Schizosaccharomyces pombe: one gene and its partners. The protein of the gene in region 3 interacts with the protein of the main gene of each other region in a biochemical or structural test. Each region holds a gene or a part of one and is shown on either strand. Other genes may lie near its edges.

Region 1 (4,217 bases), on a different chromosome or scaffold from region 3:
AACGTGCATTTTTAATCAACATCTTCTTCATTTTTTAATCCCCTTTTTCATAGAACGGGAGATTTGTTGTCACTGTCAATCTCCTTTTTGTATTTATGTTGCTTCAAGCACGTCTGTTTTGAGCCCAATTTCTCTTTTAACGTTTTAGCCTCTCCTTTCTCCATCACCTCTAACTAGTTTTAATTGGAAAAATTATTTGTTCTTCCTTTTAATTATTTTTACGATACTGTTTATTCATAGCTCTTTTTTTGATTATGAAGATACACTTCGCATTTGCTAAGTTTTTATGTTTTATGAAGTAATTCCTAGATGACTATGATTTTTTTTAACGTTTTTAAGATTTTTATTTAACTTCATGTACACAAGATGTCCAAAATCTTGTTGTATAAATAATAAAAGTTAAAAATTAATAAATACACTACTTATTATAAAACCCGTAACTACATTAACGAACTTAAAAACTAAATCATACAGATTAGCATTATAAACCTAGATGGGTAACTATTATAATGGCTTTTTTTTTTTTTTTTTTTTTTTTTTTTCTTTCAAAAAGAGAAGTTCGGTGATTTATTCAACTTCTGAATTTGTAGTCAAAACAAGAAGAGGAAGGTATATATGTTCATTACTTGGAAAGAGGAAGTTGGAAATAATTTTCATGGGCCATCGCATTACCATATCCGAAAAAAAAGGATAAAAATTTGAATTTCAAAATATTTTAGAAAAGGAGTGGCGAGAAAAAACACCACACTTGAAAATCGCAATTGTAATTTATAATTAAACGGAGGATTAAAAACCCGATGACCATTAGAATAATAGAAAAGCCTAAAATTCCATGGAACCGAGATGATATAAATATGATACACGTGAACAAAATAGAGTAATCATAACATACCCCGAGAACAACTTTTAAGGCTTTATCTACAACTTGTTTAGGATTGCAGTTCATTATCCATGTTGTGAAACGACAAAACCTCGGAGTACATCATGACCTTCCAAGTCTCCACAGGTAAATCATTATCTTGGAATGACCAGTCAAAAACTTCATCAGCAACAGGCTCATCAGTAGGATCATGGTATGGAGCAAGATAGTTATGAGCCAAAGCATCAGCAGCACTAATACGCTTACGAGGATCAAAGACAAGCATTTTTTCTAACAGATCAATAGCATCTGGATCGGCGTTTTTGAACTTTTCAGCAAAAGGAACTTTCTCCTTTTGAGGCAATGATTGAACAAAGCGAAGTGTGTTTTTACTGCAAATCGTCTCAATTACTTCCATAGGCGGCGTTCCCAACAATTCCGTGATTATAGAAAACTGGTTAACGTGGTCTCGGCCGGGAAACAAGGGTTTTCCTTCAATCATCTCAGCAAAAATACAACCCGCACTCCAAATATCAACTTCGACGTTGTACTTTTGCCAAGTTAACATAATCTCAGGTGCACGGTAATAACGAGTAGAAACATAGCCCGTCATTTGAGGGTCTTGAATACGAGCCAAACCGAAATCGCAGATTTTTAAATCGCAATTTTCGTTAATTAAGATGTTACTGGGTTTCAGATCACGGTGAATAACACCGGCAGAATGAACAAACTTGAGCCCTCGCAAGATTTGGTATAAGAAGTATTGTATAAATTGCGTCTCTAAAGGTCGCGATGTAAGTAGTCTATGAAGATCTGTTCCCAGAAGCTCCGTGACAAAATAAATATCTTCAAAGGGAGAAATAAAAATATCGCTCAAGCTAATAATATTCTCATGCCTTAAATGCTTTAATAGTTTTAATTCCCGATAGGTACGTTTTGCCAGTACCGGAGTACTAAAGGGTTTCATAATTTTCTTAACAGCGACATTCATTCCAGTTAGCTGATCCTTCGCTGAACAAACGAGGCCAAAGGCGCCCATGCCAATCGGCTGTAAGTCGCTATATCTAGTGGTAATTTCAAAACATGTACCGAATATTTGTGTACGAATAAATTCTGCCATTTTATTCAAACTGGTTACAAAAAGGACTATTCAACAATAATCTCAAAAATTTAAGCGTCCTTCGTCTATATCGAAAAGTAACTTTCTCTTCTTTTTACAAGTTCCCAACAACGCTGCGAAGTGCCAAGCTTTATAATAATTACGATAACAATCGTCGGTATCGGACCTCGTATTCCGTTAAACAGATTGTGGTGTTTGCTTGTAATAAGCAATGAAGTGCTCTGGTTAAGTTGTGGTAAGGAGGTATGTAGCTGTGATTAAGTGCACACCGCACTACAGTGAACTTGCGCTTCAGCATCCAGAACCTCAAAGAATGAAGTTCCGCCGGTTTAACGATGTTTTTAAAATGTATTAAACAATTTAAAGTACTACTACTTTTGATAACAACTGACGACGATAAACACCAAAGTGACCACTCCTTCTACTCTTACCAAGGCTTTGTTGTCCAGATCTGAGATGGGTTAGTTGGTAAAGTTGTTAAGCCAGCTTTATTAGATCAACTTTTTTAGCTATTTGAGCTAGTATTCATTATTGAAATGTGTGTTTCAAGGAAAAAGTCTTGTAAGCTAACCCAATTTGTCTTTTGACAACAGTTACTGTTGAAAAACCCGTTCAATTATAGATCTGACATTTCATTTGATCCATAATGCTCGATTTCGTAGTTAATTTGCTTGTTTGCCTCTATTAGCCCAGCGTCCGCGTTTTGATTTCTTAGCGAGTTGTTAATATTATGGTTTCACGATTAGGCATTAATCGGGTCTGTACCTTCCACATTTTGGGACGAAATAACCAAGGATAATTAGGTGCAACAAGTCATTTTCCATTTCAATTTTCCTTTTACTTTATTAAAAAATTTTTAATTAAAAAAGTTTGGACAAATACCATTTAAAGTCTACGAGGAAATAGGACACAATACTACGTTAAATGTATGTTTCAATAAAAAATCAATTCAATAAAAGGACAAAAATTAAAAGAAGGGAAAATCGAAAAAAAAAAGAATGTGATGCCGAAATTACCATACGGCTCAGTGAGCAGATAGACTAAAGATACGTATTATATGGAATTCTTCGCCAAAGATACATGCAAAATGTAATAAAAGTTATATATATACATATATGATAGACTTATACCAAATTGCTTCCATGGCGGAGATAACCAAACGGGGTAAAAACAGAGTACTTTTAAAATATAGACCAGATTAAAAAGAATGAAATTATGCCTTCATAAATTTGATGCAAATGAACCCAATACGATGAGTGCTAACGCGTTATTCTTAGCGCAAATTGTTCGGAAGAAAATAAAAAAACATAACGTGATCCCCAAAAGAATGCTTAATAATGAGTCAGTAGAATTCAAATCAATAAAAGTTTAACACGACAATGCTTTTATAATGATAAAGGAATGAGGAAAACTGTGGCTCCGAAAGAGAGGTCTACGATTTCATGCGAGAAGTTCCACGAGCTAGCGGAAAGCGACGCATCGCATTAGGTATAACCGTCATTGACGATGTCTCAGAAGCCACAGAAGCTCGAGGTTCTACTCCCTTATTGTTGTTCATGAGAGTAAAATACGTTTCGGATTCACCACTGTCATCAGTTTCACCGTTTCGCGATTCCGCAGAATTAGAGTTGGAATTTGGTCTTGACAATACTTCATTTCCAAGTGATTGAGAAGACGAATTAGGATCACTTGGCGTACCAAATCTTGATGACTCAGGTGATATATTCTTGTGCGTATGCTCTTTAGCTTCAGGGGATAACACGTTTTTTCCACCACGAACAGGAGGTGAACCTCGAGGAGCAAAACGCGGATCAAAAGTTCGACCCAAGCCCTCATAATCACTCTTTAAAGACTGTTGCATTTGCATCAAAGAAGGAGAATACAAAGAACGTCTAGAGCGACGAGTTGTAAGAGACAACATATCCATATTGTCAGCAGTCATTGCTCGTCCTTTTGAAAGGGACGGAGCAGAAGGAATTCTGCCCATATTTGGCTTACCATTTTCGGGAACAGAATATGGGTGTAAAGGTGAATGTCGATCAGAAACGAAGGATGATGGATTAATAGGCCGCATATTAACCAAAACTTTGTTTTTCTTAGGTGAATTGTCCGTGGGCCCATGCATATCATTCATGTGATGTGGTTGAACGAGAGGAAGGTGTTGAATACTCGAAATTAATGCACTTATTGTTCGTAAACGAGGAACTTGGAGGGATTGTTTAGTAGCTAAATCAATAC
Region 2 (4,693 bases), 820 kb from region 3:
CAACCATTAATGACTTTTTGTTCACTTATTTGTGACGTCGTTTTTCCCTTTTATTTTTCCCGTTAGCCTTTACTGGAATCAAGGTCGCCCGCCTTCTGCTTTATTTCATTGCTAGTAATGGATGCCATAGCGGCAATTGCCAAAATTTTCTCCTAAAAAAAACTGTTCCTTTTATATAGGATTTGCGCATCATGATTTGCTTTCCCAAAAAACAACGGAATCTGTACGACCTTTTTTGCAGGTATTTGTAAAGGCTTTCCCTTTCTATTGTAAAACTTCATTCGCGTCTCGAATATCATCTTACATATTTTTTCTGATTTATAAAAATATGCACATAATTTCATATTCGACCGCTTTGCATTTCATTATAAGACGCTTCTACTTGAAGAGAGCTATCCTTGTGCACGAATGTTGTTTAATTGTTGCAGGATACAAATTCATGACTGATGTATTTATTCATCTATTTTGTCTTGGTTAGTTAGTTTTGTGATTTCATTGGGATGTTCCCTAATAAAGGAAATTACTCTACCACAGATATACTCGTTCACTAGTAAAAGTAATATTTTTAAGTAATTAGCTGTTCTATTTATATATTTTTCTAGTTGTAGTACGGGTGTATATGCATGCATGTATGTATAACAAAATGTTTCAAGCTGTGAGACTATAAAGCGTGCAAGAAAAGGGAGCACAAAGATCGCCAAATATTATATGCAAAACAGTAAATGAAGGACTAATGCAAATGAGTATTTTTTATGGAAATTAAACGAGCAAACAGAGATTCGACAGTAGCCAGCAAAGCTCAAAAGATAGCAATAGCTAATTTATGTAAAAATGAGAAAACGCAATGAATGATTTGTATGCAAATGTTACCGTAAAAAGGCTCAATAAAACCAGCTGCTGCCAATGTATTAGTTATGGCGATTATCATCAGACTTATGGTCTATAGCAGCAGTTTCATTATAAGAATGATCATGGCGCTTTTTGTTAGAGGTTTGAGAGGATGAAGAGCTACTAACATTGAAAGAACCATTGTCATTAGATGGAACGGTTTGGGCTGGTTGCGGGATGTTGACTGTTGGGTTTGTTGGATGAGAGCGGCGTCGGACTTTCTGACGGAAGTTTAAAACTTCATCTAAAATGACACGGCGTAACTCATTTGCATCCTCAATGTATTCAAAGCTGAAATCAAAGACGGAATCACACACAGGTTCGTCAGAGGGATCATGCCAAACAGCTAAATAGGGATGTTCTAAAGCATCGTCAACCGAAATACGTCTGTTGGGGTCGAAAGCCAAGAGCTTAGCAAGCAGGTCAAGAGCCAAAGGATTGGCTTTAGGAAAATTGGTTTCAAAAGGAATAGGTCTTTGCTTTGGCAAGCTTCGAACATACTCCTGTGCACGGGAACTGCTTATATGAGACAGGGTTTCCTCATCAGGTGTGCCAAGTTGATGCAAAATTAAATTTAACTGATGAACAAAATCTTTTCCCTTAAACAAAGGGGTTCCACCTAATAGCTCTGCCAAAATGCAACCAACACTCCAAACATCAATACCTTTATGATAGCTGCTGAACGAAAGCATAATTTCCGGAGCTCTGTACCAGCGCGTTGCCACATACTCCGTCATAAAACCAGGATTTTCTTCTGGATTTTCAGAACATCCGCGAGCGAGGCCAAAATCGCAAATTTTCAGCTCACAATCAGCGTTAACTAAAAGATTACCTGGCTTTAAGTCACGATGAATAACGTTGGCAGAATGAATATACTTTAAACCACAAAGTATCTGGTAAATGAATGATTGAAAATGCGCATCCGTTAATGGCTGACCGGATTTAATAATAGCATTCAAATCGGCCTCCATCTATTATAATAGTTAGTAAGTAATTATACAAATATTTCCGTGACTAAAACAGACACCATATGTGGATCATCGCGTAACATACCAACTCTTCGTAAATGTAAACTTCATTAAAATTGTATGGATTTATAATGTCGAGATCGTAAATGCAAGTAATCTACCATGTTAGTAAAGTTTATAAAAAATAGGAAAGACATCACTATGCAAATGTAAGACAATGAGCAGTTCAAATTTTTTAATCAACCGAATTCCAAACATTATATCAAGATTTATAAAGGAAATACTTTTCAAGGATGATTAGAACTCATTTCTCATAGAAGACTTTTCATTGTATAAAAATTTGCATTTTCATCAAAATGCACCTCGTTAATACATCCCGGTGATGATGAGTAATCAATCACAGGAAGCCGTTTTTGCATAAAAGACTTACGTTACGATGATTACGAAAATGAATCAGCAGTTTTATCTCTCTCAAAGCTCTTTTTGTAAGAATGGATTTAGAAAACACATTCGTAATTTTTTTTATGGCTACAGCCTCTTGATCTTTGCTAGCCACGTTTCTTGCTGCACAAACAATGCCGTAAGCGCCTTGACCCAACTCCTTCACTACCTAAACTATGTTAGTTTTCCTAAAAGTTCAAGCAGATGCGATTTTCTGTCAAGTAAACAAAATGTTTTGCAAATGCAGCAGTTACCCAAATATCTCATACCTTAAAATTAGGCTCGACATACATCTCCTGGTTAAACACACGGTAAACACGATGTCGACGGTCCATCCTTGCGACTTATAGCATGCAACTTGAATTTTTAGCTGTTTGGCAAAAGGGATGTGGAAAAAACTACAGTACATCACTTGTAGTGATTAACGATGCCTTATATTTCACTATTTGAATGCAAGTCGGTTAGATTTGAAGACTATCAGATGGAATTTATGGTATTAAAGAATATGCATACAAATCTAATAAATATATGAGGAATACTAAAAGAAACTAGGTCCAGAGTTCAAGACTACCAAAAGCGTCAACAATAAGCACTATAGCGTACGGTTGGTACAAGAAGGCCATGTCAACGATGGGGTGCAGACGATTTTCGCTAGGTAGATTCTTTTGCTGTTGAAGGAATAGAAGAGGCCTTGACACTCCCGAAGACTTTGGGCGTACATTCTGTTGTTCAGAGACTTTTTGGTAGATAGGAGGTTTGTTATGTATTAAAGATAGTTTTGAACTCTCGGAGTCGTTGGTCACCGACGAACTAGCAGAGACATTGTGGGGATTCCAAATAAACGCATGAGGGCTTCCAGAAGCGGCAATGAGAAAAAGTGGCTCTCGTTCGACAGAACCTGCAGACGGACCTCTGTACCTATAGATTGGACTAGATATACAAGGCCAAGGAGAGTCGAATTTGGTATTCAAATCTCTTAATCCCATGTCATTGCCAGAATCTATATCAAACTTTTTTTTTTCATTAAAAGCATCAATTCCAACAGATACCGGAATCGGACTGGTGAGTGAAGAATTCCAGTTTTCTAAGAAAACCTCTTCGGTTTTCCCTTTTTCAACGTCAAAATTTACTATGCCTGAAGCGGATCTGTGACTCGCTGGAACTGCATCTTCAAGATTAACTTCTTTATTATCCAAGTTGGTAAGGACGCTAAAACTGATACTGACTGTAGTGCTTCCAAACGAGTTTAACATTCCGTGATTTTCTAAAGGATTGATGGGAATAGTAGAGTTAATTGGCTGAGTACTACTTGAACTTGTACTTGAGCTACCTGGAACCTTGGTAACGGGACTATTGTTATTTCCGGAAGTATACTCATTAACGTTGCTACGTTTTTTGGTAACATCTAAAAGAAGATGCATCTGATCAATCCTGGCTGGCATATGCCAAGAGCATGATAATGTCCCAAAGCGGAGGTCCCAAAGTAAGAGCCATCCTTTGGTAGTCCCAATTAAAGCCCAATTACAACCCTCAGAAACTACTACACTAGTAGCTGACCCACACTGTAATGGTAATTGGTCTGATGACAAAACCCTCATCATTCCCACGTCTAAGTATACGATGCGTGACCATTTTGTAACAACGACTAGACGGATACTCCCGTCGTGAAATGTAGAAGCTTCCATGGAGGTTACAGAATCACTGAAATCCAAATTGGGAATACGACCAGCCGAAATTAGAGTATGCCGCTGATTGTTAACGTCAAGTCTGTGAACTTCCACAGAGCCATCTTGAGTAACAGAAGCAAAAGCGTATGTATTACCTAGAAAGCATCCATTGACCACAGAAAATCTATTCCTCTCGCCATTACGTCGCGTATGCCCATAACTTAATCGGCATTCACATCTCATAGTTGAAATATGACGAACACTTTCAACTAATTGCCATGCTCTTACAACACCGTCAGATCCCAAGGTAACGAAAAAAGATGAATCTGGACTAACCAAAACTTTCTTCGTACCTCCATCAAGAAGGCTTCCTAAATATATCTGAGCAACTCGTGATCCTTCTGGATGCCATTCATGAGTCTGAACTATTTTATTCGCAGCCTTCGCAGACACCTTTGTTCTACGACGCAAAGGTATATTAGAAGCCCAGCTTGGTGAAACAGCAGCACCAACGTTAAGTGTCGAAGCCGCTGCTTCTGCATAAATTTTATTTAAATAATTTAAGACGCATGGATTAGTTCCAGTATACGATGATTTTTTTGCGCCATTTTGCCTCGTGGTAAGCTTTTTCAAATCGATATGAGTAGTAAATGATCTTTGGCTTCGAATACCGGCAACATTAGTTGTATCATTCGTTGAAACCCTAGAAGAGATCAACGGTGCGAGGCT
Region 3 (6,096 bases):
TTTTTCTTTGTTTTTTTTTTCCATCTTTTAACAAATGATAAAAATTATAAGCATTGATTTGTATACTAAAGCTTCGTGAATTAATTATGTCTACACTTTCTTTTAGTGTTTGAATATTCAACATCTATGCAATATATATTTTTGGATGATTGATTGTTGTCTATTTTTTTTTACGTTGCATGATTAGATTTGTGTTTAATCAATCGTTCAACAAGTTTATCTCATGTTTATTAAGCTTTCTAATTTGTTATTTTTTATTAATTGTTGTTAGAATTGAATAGTTCGTTCTAAATTGAAACAAACGTTTGCATTTTTATATACGTTTTGTAATGTGAACATCAGTAATTTCATTTTCACTTTTTGTATACATCCTCAATGTAGCGACAAACACTCACTAAGTAAAGTAAATATTGTGAAGGTGCAAATTTTAACTTGATTTCATCTTATGAATGCATGTTCGTATGATAATAGATATGTAAATGACCGATGACAAACCTATTCATTAACTTGATTTATATACTGTTCACGATATTAATACTCCCACAATACACTAAGACTTGTTGATTTCTTACATTAAAGGAAAACAGTAATCAGTTGTTATTAAAAACACTGCTGATTCTTACTAAATAATATAGTTTTAATTATTAAATCAAATCAATCTCATAAGAATGAGTTATAAGTAGTATTCTATAACTCTGCCACATGTGATGAATGGTAAACATTAAGAAAGCGTGTAGTTTTTGTTGTCCAAACGATATTATAGTGAACTAGACACGACAGACAAATTTTATCACTTCATAAAGTACTAAAAGTATGCATGCGGGACGGCGTTCAGTGCAAAATTAAAACAGTAATGGAAAACGGGAAGAAATATAAAAAGAGAAGCCTAAAGATTTTTTAATGTAAAATAAACATATATAATTTCACATCCATAACATAGCTAAATGCATGGAAAAGGGCGTTACAACCCTCAACGGAGGGAAAGTCAAAGGGAAGTAAAAACGTTATTCTTCATTACAACCATCACAGACTGAGACCTTTTCAGATCAAAAACAGTCTAGTACCCTAAATTGATTCTTTGAGCAAGATCACCGCTTCCGATGACACTTGTTGCAACAGCAGCCGAATTACTCTTGGCCACTGGGCAGTCTTTATGAGCAATCAATAAGGTCTTCAAACTCACAATTTCCTCACGTAATGCACTGACTTGTGCACTTAAAATTTCATTTTCATTACCATAAAATTCAACCTTCGCTTGAAGATTAGAAAGCCATTGTTTTTTACGCTGTCTACATTTAAGAGCAGCTTGTCGATTGCGTTCCAGGAAGCTTTTACGTTTCTCTTCATCAGTTTCGTTTTTGGAATTCCGGCGAGATGAACCTTTGCTATACGAAGTGCCGTTGGCAGATTCACTAGAAGCCTTACCATTAATGGAAGAAGTGGGTGAGGATTGATTATTGGCATTACTAGAAGGCTCTTGCGAAGTGGAATAGTCAGTACCATTTTCGAGTTTGACCGGCATCGAATTTGCCGTTGGCATATCAGAATTAGAAGTTTTTTGCGGTAGATTTGTGGATCCATTCTCGGCATTTTGTCCGGAAAAGTCCGTGGTTTGGCGTAATGTTAATGAAGGGTCGGCAGGATTAACTGTATCGCCGTAAACAGATGGCATGCCGTTAAATTGTTGCGACCCCATAAAGTACATAGGCTGTTGCTGAGTACGAGATGCTTGAGGGTTCATTGTACCTGTAACAGCTTGGGGGTTAGTATTTTGAGTAAAAGATGGCCGGATAGAGTCGGGGAAAGTCTGTTGCTGAGTTTGCTTCAGGAGGTTGTTGGCAGTGGTGGATGCTGCTTGATCGTTTTCAGAGGAGATGGGTTGCTGAAGCTTTTGCTGCTGATCGGGAACCTGGGAGAGTAAGCATAACCCATGAACCGCAGCATTGGCACCGAAATAATCAGACTGGTCACCATTCGTCCCATTTACAACAGGCGGTTTACCATCCCTTGGGGTAAAACGATATTGATCAGGAAATTGAGAATCAAACGTATGAAACCCTAATAAATTGGCAGTACCAGGTGAAGGAGCGGGAAATCCAGCTCCAGTAGGGGTTAAAAGAGATCGGAAGGGTTCATTAACACCAGGAGTAAATCCAGTTCCACTAGAAAATCTAGCTGCTGCAGATGCATCTGAAGGATTGTTTAGGTAGTCAGGACGAAGAGTAGCATCATAAATAGCAGGAGAAAGGGGATTATGCATTGTACCACGAGTAAAAGCAGACCAAGCAGGATAGCCCAACGGCGAGGCAATACCTGGAGCTCCACTTAAGATATCAGGTGATGCTATGGAAGAAACAGGAGGTAAGAGAGTTCGCGCAAACGCAGGAGGCACACCTGAAGGAATGTTACTAAGGCTAGGATTACGATTAAGAGAAGGATTTCCTTGTCCAACCGAAGCGGTAGAGCCAAATGAATGCTCAAAGGGGTTGGGTTCGTAATCCAGCTTCAAGGAGCCTACGAAAGACGGAGTTACACCATCGGATTGGTCAGCTGGATTCGCATTAGCGACAGATCCGGCCCCTCCATTAGGAGCGATAGTTGAAGACTGTTGATTCTGCTGAGAATTGTTGCTTGGTGGTGCAAATGAATCAGATTGATTGTTTTCCGGAACCTGAGTACTGGAAGCAGTAGCATTACCATTTGAAACAGCGGCAACAGATGCTGGTTCTGTGGAAGTATTGACGGGAGACGGGGACATAATTGAAGAATTTATGCTTTAACACTTGACAAAATGTATTAAGAGATGACGTTAAAAATCACACACGCTTAAATAACGAAAATAAATAATTTAGATATATAGATGAACCCGTTTAAAGAGAAGATCGAAAATAGTTTTGTCAAAACTAAATAAAAAAACAACTACAAGAAATTAATGGCTTTCCAAATTTGACAAGACAGAAGTAATAACGGCTGATAAAGCAGAAAAAATAGAAACTATATTGTTTCAATAAAAAAGAAAAGAAAAAAAAAGGAGGAGGAGATTAAGGAGATAAAAATACAACTTTCTCGAAAAAAAAAGGGAAAACCGCGACGGAGGCTCTAGACGAGAATTAGTTAGATGTCTGTACAGGCAAAGCTAGAAGACTAGATATGCAAGATTGTGAAGGAAGATATTCTACAAAGGGTAAAAAAAAACTCGCAAAGGTAATAGTCAAGTTTGTAAAAGAACATGTCCAAATAAAATAACAAAGAAACTAATAAAGAATTACAAAAGATAAAAGGGATGTTCCTACTCTTTGTTCTTTTCCTTTTCTTCGTTCGATCGTTTTTGTTAGGGTGTGTTGATTTGGATTATATGAATGTGGAGGCCTTTTTTGAATGAGTTTCAGAACTTAATGTGAGAGAGTACAGTCAAGCGTAGAGTAATAAAGAGATTCGTACTTCAACAGCAAATACACCTGCTAAAACACCCGTTTTTCTTTTTTGGAAATTTTTTTGCCAAAAACGAGACAAAACGGGTTTTCCGCTCTTCTAGCTTCCTTTCTACTCTTGTTCTCTTCCCGTGTGCGTTTATTCACTTCCGAGAAATCATTCATCAAAAGTTGCCACCACATAGATCCCAGTTCAGTCAAGGCAATAGTAACCTACAATGGTAACAAGTAAAATTTTCTAGCACAACAACACCAAAAAAAAATTTCCAAACCCTCAAAAAACGAAGGAATTCCAAACACATTTTACGTTTCCTGTAAACTAACAACCCCATAACGATCAGTGTTATTGATAAGAAAGCGTCATACTCGTCATGTTTAGTAGGGTCAATGACGATAGGAGCAAATTTTCAAATTTTCATAAAAATTCGGTTTTCAACACAACCCGTCACGTTTTTATCACGCTCTTCCAATTTTACAGCCTTTTACATAATCAAACTTCACAATTGCATGTATAAACACATACCTATTTGACTTAATCAACCAAACGTACTAGTAGCAGGTCGTCGTCATGAACCAGAGAATTCGTAATTCAGATCCAACTAAGCGATGACTACTGTATAAATGATGAAAAGACTCGGTCAACTGTCCAAACTGAAATTTACAAACAGAAAAATGGTTTTCGTCAATTCAATCGTTCAAAAAGTGCTCAAAGTAAACTTTTTAGCAATTTCCTAAGTAGTTTCTTTCTTCTTATGTTGTAAGTAAAGGGTAAGTTGTAAATTCCTAGTGCCACACTTCCACCTGTTTCAAACAGATGACGTCATTGCATCACTTTGCATGATTGAACTTAACCAATCACGTGCGGGGCTCTGAAGAAGGGTAACAAGGAAATGGGTCTGGAATAAACCGAGCAAGACGATACTTAAAGTACTGCTGTGTAGTTTTGTATTTTGTGTTATCGTATCGTTAAGAAACGTATCGATAGTTTGGGGAATGGGAAAGGATGGACGGAAAGTAGGATGTTATTGGTATATCATGGAGTGCGTGCTTTTTAAGCAAATATGATGTTAGCAATATGTAGTAAAAATGGTGAGTTTGTGTATAGTGCCATGAATCTTATTTCACTCTTAACTCAAGCTTATTTTATATTAACCGATGAATGAATAAATAATATATCTTTGATGAAGCTAAATCGTTGCGTGTATTTCTGATATTATGTTGTATGTAGGTAAGTGTTTTAGGTTGGACTTCTGCGTGTTTGTAAGATGTGTACGTACGCTGAGTAATTAGCAATGTATGAATAGATCCAGCAGTTCCAGAAGACCTACGAAAAAATAAAATAAAATAAAATAAAATAAAGTAAAAAATAAAATTAAAATAAAAATAAAGATAGGTTATACGCAGAAATAATATACAAGTTTCAAATATTATGAGTACTTGTCACGAATTCAATTATGGAGAATTCTGTACAGTAGGATCTTTCAAAAAGTCTTTACATAGACTTAGATTGTATATATAACATACCAACCCTTACAACATTTAAATAACAGTTTTAATAGCTAATTCATTTGTTTTACAATGAAATCTTTTGCTTACATTTTCGGGAACTTATTAGTCAATACGGGTTGGCATTTTGTTGGGATTACGGATCCGAAAACTACCCAAAAGATAAGCAAAGAAAATGAAGTTTTTTAAAAACAAAATAAATTTGTATTCGTGAAACATAAAAGAATAAAAAAATTAAGTTAGAAACATTTTATGCAAATCATTCCATTCAATTAGCAATTGTGATGGAATTGGTTATACCAATAGATATTTTACACTCATTTTAAAACAATTAAAATTAAGTGAATATATTTGTGTGGTGTGTACTGAGTCAATCATTAATGCAATTAGTTATATTAATAAAGTTCTTTTTGTTTGCGATAACTTTCGTCTCTCTTTTTTTTTTTTTTTTTTTGTTAATTTTTAATTTTTTTTAACACGGCATCTTTCTTCACGAATTTCCTAACTGGAGCCATCAATATCGTAGCGTACACAAATTTCCGTTAAAGCATTTTAAATTGCAGTAAGCTACGTTAAATGAATGAACGAAAGCTAACCCCCGTTATCGGAGACAAACCAGCCCCCTCCTACAGAAGTTGCGCTGCACTGCTTAAAATCCGCACTCGAATTGTATAAAGTAGCTTTTTTGTTTATAACCCGTTTCTCCATCTACCATATGTCAAAGAATCCTCTTGGAACGTTGGTTGTCCGAATATGGAAAGCTGTAAGTCTTAAAAGATGAAGATTTGTTTTGTAAAACTAACGTGTCTTCTTTAGAAAAATTTACCAAACAAGGCTCTAGTGGGCAAACAAAGCCCTTACTGCGTTTGCAGAGTTGGTGAGGTGGTAAAACGTACGCAAACGGATAAGAGAAGCGGTCAAGAACCATCGTGGAATGCGGTACTGGAGTTTAACATTCCCAGTGAATCTTATCATATTATGAAAATAACCGTTTTTCACGAGGGATTTCGAAAGCATCCACACTTGATTGGTGATACTGTATTGTCTTTTGAGAAAGCGATGAAAGAAGAGTTACAAAGTGAATGGTATGAACTAAAAAATGAGTTCCAATTTGCTGGCGAGCTATCTGTGCAATTCAAGTTTATCCCCACTGATCCTC
Region 4 (4,320 bases), 1.1 Mb from region 3:
AATACTCGTTCATCTGTACAATTCCTTCGTGAAAATCATGTTGAAAATGTTCAGGGAGATAATGATCCTTCGTCGTTGCAAACAAATATTATTCCTGGGTGGGAAAGAATTATGTAGTATTTACCACTTTTACAAAGAGCTAAAAACTCTTAAAAACAAAACTCTTTTGACTTTTCTTGTCTTTTTATCTATCGCCGATGCTAATTATAATATTTATTGACTGTCATGCTAATGAGTTAACTGTTTGGCACAAATTTCTTATAGCTTATAAAGAAGATTTTCGAAAGCTTACCTGTTAATGTGGATTGAATATGGTAACTATTACTTTTTGGGAGCCTGTGCTTAGGACCGCGATGATTAAGGACGAACATTTACGCTAAGTGTGTGATTTTGAAAAATTTAGACTAATATTTATAATTTGTAATATGTCTTATATACTGATAGATTCTTTTATCATTTTACATTATTATTTATTCAACAAAATAATTTACCAACCAATTACGAATGAAACCACCATTAATTATAGATACAAGGAAATTCAATGATTATTAGCGGATATATGTATCTAGTTGTTGCACAGTTTCAACAAACAATGCTCTTTTGTCTGTTCAACATGAAGAAGAAATGACTTGGGGTTTAACATAACCATAAAAAAACAGAATATATAAATAAAATGGAGTGGAAATACATCAGAGCAGGCTAATTGCCTGGAAAAACATCAAAATAAATAGCTTCAACTGAGATCATCATATCCCATCCAAACATAAAGTCGGTCCATTACACCAGCACAAAAAACTGAAGCCAATATTGGTGAATTGCAAAATCAGTGCTACAAACGTCACTTGCATTGCACTAAATCAAATAGGCATTCGTTGCTCAACGCTTTAAGGCAATAGTACAATGAATCAATAAGCATTCGAGTATCTTAAAACAAAACAAACGTGGCACAAAACATCAAAAGTCCTTAAAGATAGAAGTAAATTCAGGATCTTCAGATGTTCCATAATCCGTAGCTACATCAGCATAAGCGTCAAATTGACTGGAATCACCCATTCCAGCTTGAATGGGAGGAACATACGGAACCTCAATTTTCCGAGTAAGGATCTTGTCCCAGCTGATATCACGGAACCAAGGGTGCATAATAATATCCATGCTACCATCTTTCAAATTTCCATAGCGGCAGGTTATGTCTCGCTGAAGTAAATGGCTCAACAAATCAATACTAGCAGGAGAAAAGTACGATGGATAGTTGACCTTGCCTTCAAGGATATTCTCATACAACTTCATTGGATTCTCAGAGTAAAATGGAGGATAACCCGCAAGCATTTCAAAGATAAGAATACCAAGGGACCACCAATCTGCAGCTTTGTTGTACGGTTTTAAAGATATGATTTCCGGGGCTAAATAATCGGGGGTACCACAAAGAGTACAACAGTTGCTAGTAGAGACGCGTTTGGCAAAACCAAAGTCCACAATTTTCAAATGACCAAACCGGTCAAGAAGAAGATTTTCGGGTTTTAAATCTCGATATACGATTTGATTGTGGTGAAGATAATCAAGAGCAAGGATCACTTCTGCTGCATAAAATTTGGCAACTTTTTCGGGAAATCGATGACATTTACGAAGCAAAGAAAAAAGCTCTCCTCCTTCAGCAAAATCCATGACCATAAACAGATTTTTGGCATCTTGGAAAGTACCCCATAGAATGGTAATGAACGGGTGTTGGACACGGGATAAAATGTATCTCTCATCGCAAGTGTGCTCTATTTGCTTCATATCAACGATTTTTTTCTTTTCTAAAACCTTGATGGCGTAATACAGGCGATTGTGATTCGACTGAACGAGATGAACTCGACCAAACGAGCCAGTGCCCAATGTTTGTAAGAAATTGAAATCTTGTATTCCATATCGATCTTTTGTGGTGTGGTCAGCAGGACGAATCCTTCGACGCTGTAAATCGAGCAGCTGACTAACCCGAACTTTACGAATATGGCGATCGCGTAGCCCATCCATAGCTGACCGTCTCTCTCCGTGTTCTGAACCTAGTTCACCACGACCGTCCCGCGAATGTCTTTGATGGCTGCTTTGGCTACTACTTCTACTCGCGCTTTCAGGAAGAGGTGAAGGGATCAAATTATCGATGTTTTGGTAACCAACAGAATGGGCACTTGCACAGCCAGACGTACTGGTGCTAACCAAGCTGTCGGGTTTTTTGCTTTTCGTGGCCTCTTCCAAAGCTTTAGGGATGCCCGAAGTCCACAGACTTGATTCATTATGGTTATTATGACCATTGCTTACACTTGCATCACTACCAACAGAATCATGAACAGAGGGTTTGCCATTAAAAGAATTTGTTCCATGTCGCTGCTGTTCCGAATATTCATTAACGCTGCCGGCATTCATAGATGGATGCAAAGAGGCACTTGTAGATAGAGTGTCAGTTGAAGAACCCACGTTAGTACTTCCTTTGGAAGCAACGGCAGTCGTATCCATGAGTACAAATGTGAAATAGCGTTTATACACGAAAAGATAATTAAAATTCACTAATCGTTCGTCAAACTTATAAAGTACCCGAAAACAAGAATAAGGTTAAAAGAGGTCGAGGCAAAAAGGTCGTTACCTTTGAACAACCTTCGAATATATGTATATAAACCGCAACAATAGCAGTAATCTTAGAGTTCTTTTTTGGTGCGCTGCTTATTATAGCGAAGCAAAAATAAATAAAGAATCAGCGTAGATAGAAAGAGCGAAATTTACTTCCTCTAAATAATTTATTAAAATAAAGAGGACAGCGGCAGAAAAGAAACTATTTTAAGTGAAATTCCAGTCGCTCAACACAAGTAAAAACCCAACAAGAATAAAGACAAATAATACTCGTTTGCTCAATCAATCCGGGCAAACGAAATCCTTCAAAGTAAAATTGGAAGCAACTTAATGTCTAACAAACTGTTATTCCAAAAGTACAAATGAACACGAACGATAATTCGATACACCTGAGACAAAAAATAAGAAGATAAGCTAAATCGACTCTGAGTCCTTCAAAGATAATCTATAGCAGACAAAAATAGATAACAATAGTTATAGCAAGCGTTCAAAAATACAAATTAACATAAACCGACGTTACAGATTCACGGTTTTCACAACAATACTGAGCCTTTCACTCTTAGCGCAGAACCAAAGGTGTATTAAGTAAAACTACAAGTCTTTTTGATACAGAAAGCTTTTGTAGAATTAGCGGCTTTCGAGAAACGAGCTATTCACACTTCCTATGCGTTCGCAAGCTTCAATTTGTGTTTTGCTAACGAAAGAAGTGTTGTGTCATAGGATGCAAGGTTGAAGTCATGCCCTTACTACCCCTCAAAAACGAAGGAATTTTTAATGAGGCGAATAATCGTACGTAAATTATAATAGGGGAATTTAATGTAGATCGTTACAAAACTTCAGCATCTCAGTGCATGTCGGATTTAAAGACTTCTATTTAAATTTTAAGATTGAATTCGTCAGGTGGATTTAGATGGTTTAATACAGTGTATTAATTATCGGGTGTAATTCATTAAATTATAATATTTGGAACCGTTACTCGAAAGTCATAGATTCGAACATCAAGAACTTATGTAAACAGCATACAACGATATAGTGTTAGTTAGTAGCTCGAAGTGTCATGCTTAAATCAATTAATTAACGAAAGGAGGGAAAAGATATAGAAAAAGGATAAAAAAGCTAATCTATTTTCAACGGCGCCTTGAGACAGGCGGTATTACCCCTTGAAGAACCATGGGTGCTTAGTAGTTGTCGCAATAATATTCTTTTTACTTTGCCCAGTGAAATAGTTTGAGCATCAGTATTCCAATTAACAATTTATTATTAACTTCGATTTCCTTTTAACAAACCATTATTTGAAGATAGCTATTAATCATGATCGTGAAAAAAGTGTTGCATTGGATATGCCACCTTGTATATTAATTGAGACATTAAGGTATTTATACAAGTCGTTAATTTTAAGGGGTTCTATTTTTTTAAACTTCAATTTTCCTTTTGAAGGATTGATATGATGGAAAAGATTTTTGGAAACCATTCAGCCCATTAGCATATCATATAATTAATAAACGTAGTTCATAATTATACAGATTCTTCATTATGATTATGAGAATACACATACTCCCATACTCTCAAACTCAAATCTTCTACCAAATCACGAGAAAGGAAAAGATATTGACGGGAGTGAAACTTATTCAAGAGCACACCAGTCCAACAAGACTCAAAAAATTGTAACAGTATTTGCAAACTTAATAAACGGTCTCTAGTTAAATTATCAAAGTC

Evidence for each region.
Region 1: of the proteins of atf1 (region 3) and sty1, one has a biochemical effect on the other in vitro, tested with the Schizosaccharomyces pombe proteins (5 studies listed by BioGRID).
Region 2: of the proteins of atf1 (region 3) and pmk1, one has a biochemical effect on the other in vitro, tested with the Schizosaccharomyces pombe proteins (one study listed by BioGRID).
Region 4: of the proteins of atf1 (region 3) and pka1, one has a biochemical effect on the other in vitro, tested with the Schizosaccharomyces pombe proteins (one study listed by BioGRID).

What each region holds. Positions count from the first base shown.
Region 1 is NC_003424.3:205,935-210,151, forward strand, and holds sty1 (MAP kinase Sty1), read right to left. Parts: upstream 2,203-4,217; 5' UTR 1,980-2,202; coding exon 930-1,979; 3' UTR 542-929; downstream 1-541. Other genes in the region: SPOM_SPAC24B11.07C (oxidoreductase), read right to left, coding at 3,412-4,217. UniProt on the Schizosaccharomyces pombe protein: Proline-directed serine/threonine-protein kinase involved in a signal transduction pathway that is activated by changes in the osmolarity of the extracellular environment. Controls osmotic regulation of transcription of target genes.
Region 2 is NC_003423.3:728,799-733,491, reverse strand, and holds pmk1 (MAP kinase Pmk1), read right to left. Parts: upstream 2,677-4,693; 5' UTR 2,633-2,676; coding exon 2,567-2,632; exon of another isoform or gene 2,467-2,566; coding exon 2,287-2,466; intron 2,014-2,286; coding exon 1,942-2,013; intron 1,860-1,941; coding exon 909-1,859; 3' UTR 540-908; downstream 1-539. Other genes in the region: serine/threonine protein kinase Vps15, read right to left, coding at 2,846-4,693. UniProt on the Schizosaccharomyces pombe protein: Regulates cell integrity and functions coordinately with the protein kinase C pathway (pck1 and pck2). Involved the regulation of wall architecture, cell shape, cytokinesis in exponential and stationary phase, and metabolism of ions.
Region 3 is NC_003423.3:1,544,323-1,550,418, reverse strand, and holds atf1 (Atf-CREB family transcription factor Atf1), read right to left. Parts: upstream 4,203-6,096; 5' UTR 3,955-4,202; exon of another isoform or gene 3,559-3,954; intron 3,100-3,558; 5' UTR 2,759-3,099; coding exon 1,058-2,758; 3' UTR 557-1,057; downstream 1-556. Other genes in the region: contractile ring-membrane anchor Fic1, read left to right, coding at 5,653-5,700, 5,754-6,096.
Region 4 is NC_003423.3:395,165-399,484, reverse strand, and holds pka1 (cAMP-dependent protein kinase catalytic subunit Pka1), read right to left. Parts: upstream 2,494-4,320; coding exon 955-2,493; 3' UTR 528-954; downstream 1-527. Other genes in the region: plg7 (1-alkyl-2-acetylglycerophosphocholine esterase), read left to right, coding at 1-117; cut4 (anaphase-promoting complex platform subcomplex scaffold subunit Apc1), read right to left, coding at 4,120-4,320.